2 linked regions of the Tribolium castaneum genome follow. The protein of the gene in region 1 purifies or fractionates together with the protein of each later gene. This does not show direct contact. Links are inferred from orthologs where the notes say so. Each region holds a gene or a part of one and is shown on either strand. Other genes may lie near its edges. The genes, in order: Tcs5 and Nup43.

Evidence for each region.
Region 2: the proteins of Tcs5 (region 1) and Nup43 purify together in Homo sapiens (affinity purification with mass spectrometry; 3 studies listed by BioGRID and IntAct, counting the BioPlex papers as one, with this or other methods). This does not show direct contact. The link is inferred for Tribolium castaneum from reciprocal best matches to the Homo sapiens genes TP53RK and NUP43.

Annotation. Positions count from the first base shown.
Region 1 is NC_087394.1:35,200,269-35,203,262, reverse strand, and holds Tcs5 (EKC/KEOPS complex subunit TP53RK), read left to right. Parts: upstream 1-1,720; coding exon 1,721-2,398; downstream 2,399-2,994. Other genes in the region: MED23 (mediator of RNA polymerase II transcription subunit 23), read left to right, coding at 1-606; uncharacterized protein LOC658853, read right to left, coding at 666-709, 756-1,295, 1,341-1,437.
Region 2 is NC_087398.1:14,041,497-14,045,988, forward strand, and holds the start of Nup43 (nucleoporin Nup43), read right to left. Parts: upstream 2,983-4,492; 5' UTR 2,881-2,982; coding exon 2,659-2,880; intron 2,589-2,658; coding exon 2,120-2,588; intron 1-2,119. UniProt on the Homo sapiens protein: Component of the Nup107-160 subcomplex of the nuclear pore complex (NPC). The Nup107-160 subcomplex is required for the assembly of a functional NPC.

The sequences.
Region 1 (2,994 bases):
ACAATTCCCTCGTCAGACATCCACCAGTGGGTCAATGCTGTTGGTTTAATTCTGGCAGCGCTTCCAGTTAGCTACTGGAGTGTTCTACACGATCGACTTGTGGCCACGTTAAACGAGCTAGAAACGTGGAATTTTGACTGTTCTCCCTTCCGTTTGTTCGATTTCAAAGAAACCCACGCTGGGCTTTTGCATAATAATTTTAGTTATATGCTAGCTTTGGCTCATTCGGTTTGGCATCACGCTGGTCCGGGGCAGATCGCCAGTGTGCCCCGATGGGCGCGTGAGTGTTTACCGGCTGTGGTACGGTCCGAAGAACAGTTTCTCTATGTTTGTCATCTTGTGGGGCCCTTTTTGCAACGGTTTAACGTGGCAATAGTGGAATTGACGAGTGCTTTGTACGAACTGTTGGCACAAGTTGACCACGCGCACAGCGAGTTGAAATATATGGACCCGATCTGCGATCTCTTGTACCACATTAAGTACATGTTTGTGGGGGATAGCATGAAGAAGGAGTTGGAGACTGTGGTGCGCCGGTTAAGACCGCCTTTGCAAATGAGGTTGAGGTTTATCGCACATTTGGCGATTGAGGAAGTTAATGCATCGTAACTCACTTGTATTATGTTTTTACATTTACGTAAATACATTTTTATAAAAAAATAAAAAACTTAATCCGATTCACTCTCCCTTGAACTTGGAAAATCCGGTTTCGCTAAAACAGTTTGTTATTTAATTGGTAACATTTCGTCGTTACATACCTTGTTTGGCCAATTCTTGCTGTTTTTGCTCATTTTCTATATATTTGGTCTGTTCGGCAATCACCGATTGGCTGTCGCTACAATTTGAATATACCTCCAATATATTTTTATTCAGTTCGATAAATGAATGTCCCCACGAAAATTTATCTAAATACTGCCGAGCTAATTTTTTGTATCCGGTGATGTACAAAGTTGCGGCTATCGCTTCAACGCAACTTAATTGGCAAGGTCGCCCGTAATTGATGGGGTTTGCGGCCACGAGAAACGGTAATAAGCGCCCATGTTGGGGCTTGAGTGCTGCAATGGGTGTCTCGTCGATTCTGGCCCATGAGCAGTCCACCACGGCTACCCCCTTGCTTGAAACAATGTCGCGATCATTGGGACTTACGCATTTAGTGCCAGTCGGGGTTAATACCAGCCCTGGAAATTTTTGTTTGACTTTTAGGGTTTTAATTAATTTTAGACGCGATAATTTGCGGCCTGAACATTTCTTGGGGTCACATTGATTAAAATCCCACATGGCAATGGGAAAGTCGGGTACTGAAATATCATTTTAAGTCTAGTTTTTGGGGGCTGTGACGCTACCTTCTTCATCGCTGCTTTCGCTACTTGAGTCATCGGAATTATCAGTCGATGATGAATTTATTGTTGCGTTCTCAAGGCTCTCCTCGACAGAAGTCATGCTTTACTATCAAGTAAAAAATTAAAATGCGACTATTTTTTAGGTTAGATAACATAACCCATAAATGTCACGTTCAGTTGAACGTGTGAGTAGAATTTTTTGTTATTGAGTAATATTAATACAAAAAATTGGAAATTGTAATGTCTTAGAGTAATCAGTGTAATGGAACGATAAACATAATTGATCAGCTCGTAATTAACAATAAATATTTACAATTACGTAACCTCACTTTTTTGTGTCAACAGCAAGAGTGAAAACTGGAATTAGTTAAAAACTACTGCAAATGGAAGGGTTCGAATTGTTCAGACAAGGTGCCGAGGGCCGAATCTTCAAAGGAGTGTATTTGGGAAAACCCGCAATTGCCAAAGAACGATTCGTTAAGAAATACCGGCATCCGGATCTTGACTCACACTTGACCAAAGAACGGATAAAAAGTGAAAGTCGTTCAATAATTCGGTGTAAATCTGCCGGAATAAGGACCCCCGCCTTATATTTAGTTGATTTCAACCGCCGTACTATTTTTATGGAGTACTTTGAGAACAGTATCGTGGTCAAGGATTTCATAGCACAAGCAAGTAACGAAGTTATAAGTAAGTTGGCGTTAAAAATTGGGGCTGTGTTGGGCAAAATGCATGCCAATAGCATCATTCACGGGGACTTGACAACATCAAACATGCTACTTGTTAATAAAAACGGACAAAAGTCGTACAGTAACTTGCAAGATTTAGAGCTGATTTTTATTGATTTTGGATTATCTCACGTAGAGTCTAGCGCTGAAGATAAAGGGGTTGATTTGTACGTGTTGGAACGAGCCCTTATCAGTACACATAGCACAGCTAGTGAAATTTTTGACCAAGTTTTGGAGGGCTATAAATTAGAGAATAAGTCAGGGTTTAAGGAAGTTTTGGCTAAATTTAAAGAAGTGCAAGCTAGGGGCCGGAAGCGTACAATGGTTGGTTGATTCATTTATTTATAATCTTGATAGCATGCCACCTGCTACTACAATTGTTTCCCCAGTCATGTAACTGGCGTCGTCTGATGCTAAAAATGCAGCTGCGCCAGCTATTTCATGTGGCATTCCCATTCTGTAAAAATAAATTCTTTAACTGAAAAAACTCAATTCGTATTGCAATAAACCTTCCCATCGGAATCATTGATAAAACTTTCTTTTTGTCTTCCTCTTTCTCGACCAGCTATGATTCAAAATGTTATAACACAATAAAAAATGTTTTTGCCTCTTACAAAGTGCGAAAACTTGGTTTTTATTAAACCCGGGGCTATGCAATTAACGGTGATATTTTCTTTAGCTAACTGGGCTGCTGCTGTTTTAGTGAGTCCAAAGAGTGCACACTTGCTCACACAGTAAGCCCCAATCAACTTGAACAAAATTTTAGCTTAAAGTTTGAGTACCTAACTGTTTTTACATCCAAAGGCTGGAAACCACCAATGGACGAGATGAAAATAATTCGACCGCAGCTACTTTTGCGAAGTAACGGTAAAGCTTCTTTCGCTAACATGAAAGCAGCTTTCACGTTTACATCGAAAATTTTGTCCCAC
Region 2 (4,492 bases), on another chromosome or scaffold:
TTTCGATATTCTTTGGCAGTGATCAAAAACTATTTGATCTTAAAATTGGACCAAATAATGCTCGAGAGACGGTTATGACGTCATAATCCCAAATTTATATCGAAATAACTTGAAGTAGGATCGTTTCATAAATCATTTTAAAGTAACTTAAACTTTTAAAAGTGACTTCAATTTTTAAAATGCGTTTCAACCTAAAAATTTTCGTAAAATATTTCGTCAAATAATGATTAGGTAAAGACGTAAAGACGGCGGCAAATTACAAAAGCAACTTTAACAAACGTTAAATTTGTCAGTTTTTTGAATTGCACAAAATTAAGAAAGTGTTCATTTTTTCTTCTAATTCATTATCTTCTTCCGAACTGCGAAGACAAAAAATTTATAGAAAAAGAAAAATTATTTTGAAATTGTTAGTGATGTAAATTTCTTCGATCAGTTTCGTTTAACCAAGCCAACCATTTACGCTCGTTTGAAAAATGTTGAATAGATTACGTTCTAACAAGTAAAAGTCTCAAAATTGACGCCTGTGCTATGGCAGTTTGATTTAGGGTATTAATACAAATCGAAAGTTAAGAGTAAAAAATTTTCCAATTGTTCGTTTTAGAGTTATTGATAAAAATGTAAATAATAAGCTTTAGCTGTCTTTCCAATTATTTGTGCAACATAATTGATTAGTTGATGTTAGCGATATTAAAATTCTTTGAATAACTGTGTCTAGTAAAGAGTATTATTAATTTCCTTCGTTTTTGTATGTGTTAAATGATAAGATACCACTTTATTAGTGTATTCGAAATTTTGACGATATGTTAAAAGCTCGGTTATAAGTAAGATGTTTGTATGATGGCAATGCCACTGCTGAGACTAGGGCCTACACGGAAAAGTTTCCAAATCGCATTATAGCATACTTTGTGACAACAAATTTGGTAAATTCGCTTTTAATAAAATTTAATGTACAAATTTTAAATTTTAGATACTTATCAATAACTCGATAACGAAGGACAATTGGACAATTTTTCACTCTTAACTTTCGATTTGTTTTAGTCTTCTGAAGCAAATCCTAAAAGCATGGGCGTCAATTTTGAGTATATATAGGGTATATACTTATAGTTCTCACATTACTTGCTATGTCAACCGCAAACCAACAAAAACTTACCCCACAATTGCAGTTATTATTTTGATCATTGTTGTTTACAAGAAGGAATCCTAAAAGATAATGAGCCTCTTGCAGGTACTAAGAAGATGCCCAAAATAATTGATGCGGTTTTGTGGAAGTTTTCATTGGTTTATGGTATAGACATAGCCAGTTACGCAGAACTATACACAACATCAAAAATAAAAATATTTTCGTCAACACTATAACTATTTCATAAACTTCATCAACAGCAGCAAGCTGAAGACGAAAGGAACCATTATCGTTGATTTTTTTGCGTACTAATGATAATGTGGATTTAGCACAATTATCTGGCGGACTAAATACTAACAAAAAATAGTTATTAACATCAACTGCATTAAAGTTTGAAATATCAATGTCATTTCTTTACGTAAAGTAATCTTATATATGCGTTCCAAAATCAACTATCTCCGCGTTGTTTTTTGGAGTTATGTGTTTGCCTTAAAAGACTTAAAACTTTAGCCACATGTTATTTCAGCAAATACGTAGTTTGAGTTTTTTTATTCCATTTCACTATCTAGTCTTAAAAAAAGGATTTTTAAAAGACATTTTGTTCCATAACCGCCCATCTCCTCTCCAACTTGTTCCAAAACTTGCCACCTCCAACCTTAAAAAAAATGCAGGCTTTAAATTCAAACATTGTAATTAAAGTATAGGTCATCGAATTCTACTCTCTAAGAGGTTTTATATCAGTGTAATTTAAAATTTATTTGTTCAACAGCATTTGTATTAAACATTAAACAAAAATACTGAATAGAGACGGCAGGTTTTGGAACTAGACGACTCATTTTACAGCGTTCAATTTTATTAAAACTTCACGCTGTAAAATTATACCTACCGCACGTATAATGTAAATAACTATTTTGGTATCATTTAAAAGAAAGTTGCCAATACCTTTAAGTTGGCACCATTTTTGGCGTTTGCCAACATAAATAAAAAAAAAATAGGTACCTTCTTCATCGCCAGCTACCACCAAATGCCTCTGTGTAGGGTGGTTTTGGAGACACAATGGCGAGATTTGATCCCCACTCAACATGAAAGTGGTCGCGGGTTGGCTTTTAGGGGCCCGAATATCGAAAATCTTCAATTGTCCACGAAAATTACCGGTCAAAATTTCGCTATGCTTCAGAAAAGCCACACAACGAATTGAGCAACTATCGGCGTTTTCAATTGTGCGGATAACGTTTTGGTTTTGGGCATTTAACAAATTGATAGAACCGTCTTCGCCAACGCTCACAATATCGTTGTCGTAGGTGCAAAAGGCAGTGCAAGGGCAATTCTCCCCATTGGGAAATTTGTGAACTCCCTCCCAGTAAATTTTTCTCTCAATTAAGGGATCAATTCCATGTTCGGAAGTAATCTTCAGCAGACTGACGCAGCCCGACGACGAAGAAGCAACGAAAAAATCGCCGTTTAAGAACTAAAAAATGACAAAAATTGTTTCACTCGCTACGTGGCTCGTATCGCAATACTGATTGTAATATACATACTTTAACTTCAGTTATGTCCCCGTTGTGTGGAAATTCAGCCACCAGAAATGGATAAACTTCGGCATCTTCTTCATTTTCTTGGAAATCCCAAAGTTTGATGCTGTTTTGGTCATTGTCCCAACTGCCGGTTACAAAATAATGCGAGGCATTCATAAAATCGGGCCTCCAACGGATTTTATTAACTTTTTCAGAAACAAATGTTCCATGAATGTTGTGGGCCATATTTTGTGTATAATTAAGCCCATAAAAATTAAAAAAGTGGCGCTATAACCTCACTGTGTCGTTGAAAGCATAATTGAATAATTGTCAGGCAACCCACTATACGTGCGGTGGAGTATACTCCGTATCAAATCTATAAGACAAATTGCTTAACGACTCTACATTTTTTTAAGCCAGAAGTACGTTATAAGAATACATGATTAATGTTTAGAAAATATTGTTACGGCTGAACTGTAATAAGTTTATGTTTAAAAATAAAATAACTATTTAAAACAGATTTTTTTATGTGGGGGGTTTATTTTATAGAAACGGAAGTAGGTGTACGTTCATGGCAACCTGTTCACTGACAGTAATGTTTTCCACTAGATGTCAGTCATGAAATTTCAACAACAGAACTGGCCTTTATAAAGCCCCCCTACATGAAAGGCAATTAGACGAATTTAGTAATAAATACAAAATAAAGTATGTGATAAGCTCTCCCAAAGCCAAGAAATGGAACAGGTCAGTAAAACTAAAACAATTTACAACTTTTTTAACCTAGAAATTTTTCAGATTGATAAAAAAATCGAAGACGAAAATGATTAAACAGCTGTTGCCTGAGGAAGACACTAAGCCAGTTTAGTGTTGTAGCAGCCCCTTGAGGAGCACAAATGTCGTGATTATTCCTTTGAGACGAACCAGTTTCTACATTTAAAGGGACACCATTGAATAAGATACACTATACACACATTAAACATGTGCCTTTGAATCAAATGTGTGATTCCATTCACAGCTTGCGTTAGTTGCAATTTAGAGACGTTTTTTGTATTAGTGTTTCTAAAACTTGCTATTAGTAACAGACATGGTTATTTCAGTACTGTAAACAATATATATTTAAATGTCGCGAATGTTCATATGATGCAAAAAATAAAGCCGGCGATTTAAAAGATCACACACTGCACCACCATATACTTTCAACCTCATTAAATGTCTGTTGCACAGACTATTTTCAAGACGCTGTTTAAAAACATGTTTTTAGAACATTACATATCAGAACAGGTTTAAATGTTTCACTTAACTTTATAGAATAATTTGGTGAAACGTAAGGCCCTTATTGTATGTCACAAATCTCATTTTAAAACCAATAATAATATTAAATAGTTATTTTGTATTATCTTCCAAGCAGAGTAGTTAAGATTGACTAAAGTAATATTTTATAACAGTGCAGTTGACGACAGAAAATGATTCGCAAGTTAGGGTTTCTTTGGGCTTGCTTCAGCTTAGGCCCCATGTCTGCTCATGGTAACATCTGTTCTGAAAAGTGAGACGAAGTGAGCAATAAACATCTTTTTTACTGCAGACTAATCATTTTCTGGCCCCATTGCATTGTTGTCATGAAATATTACTTTAGTATATCTCCACAATTTCGCTTGGAAGAAAATAATGTTTGTCAGTTTAGGACGAAGCATAAAGGGTATTGGATGCGGAATCTTAGGCGAAAACATAATATTGAAAAAGGCTAACAGGACTTACTATTTTTACAATAATAATTCTCTCTATACCTACTGTTAAAAAACATGAGAAAGTGTTTATCGATGATTTTTTGTAATAATACATATTTTGTGACTCTACATTA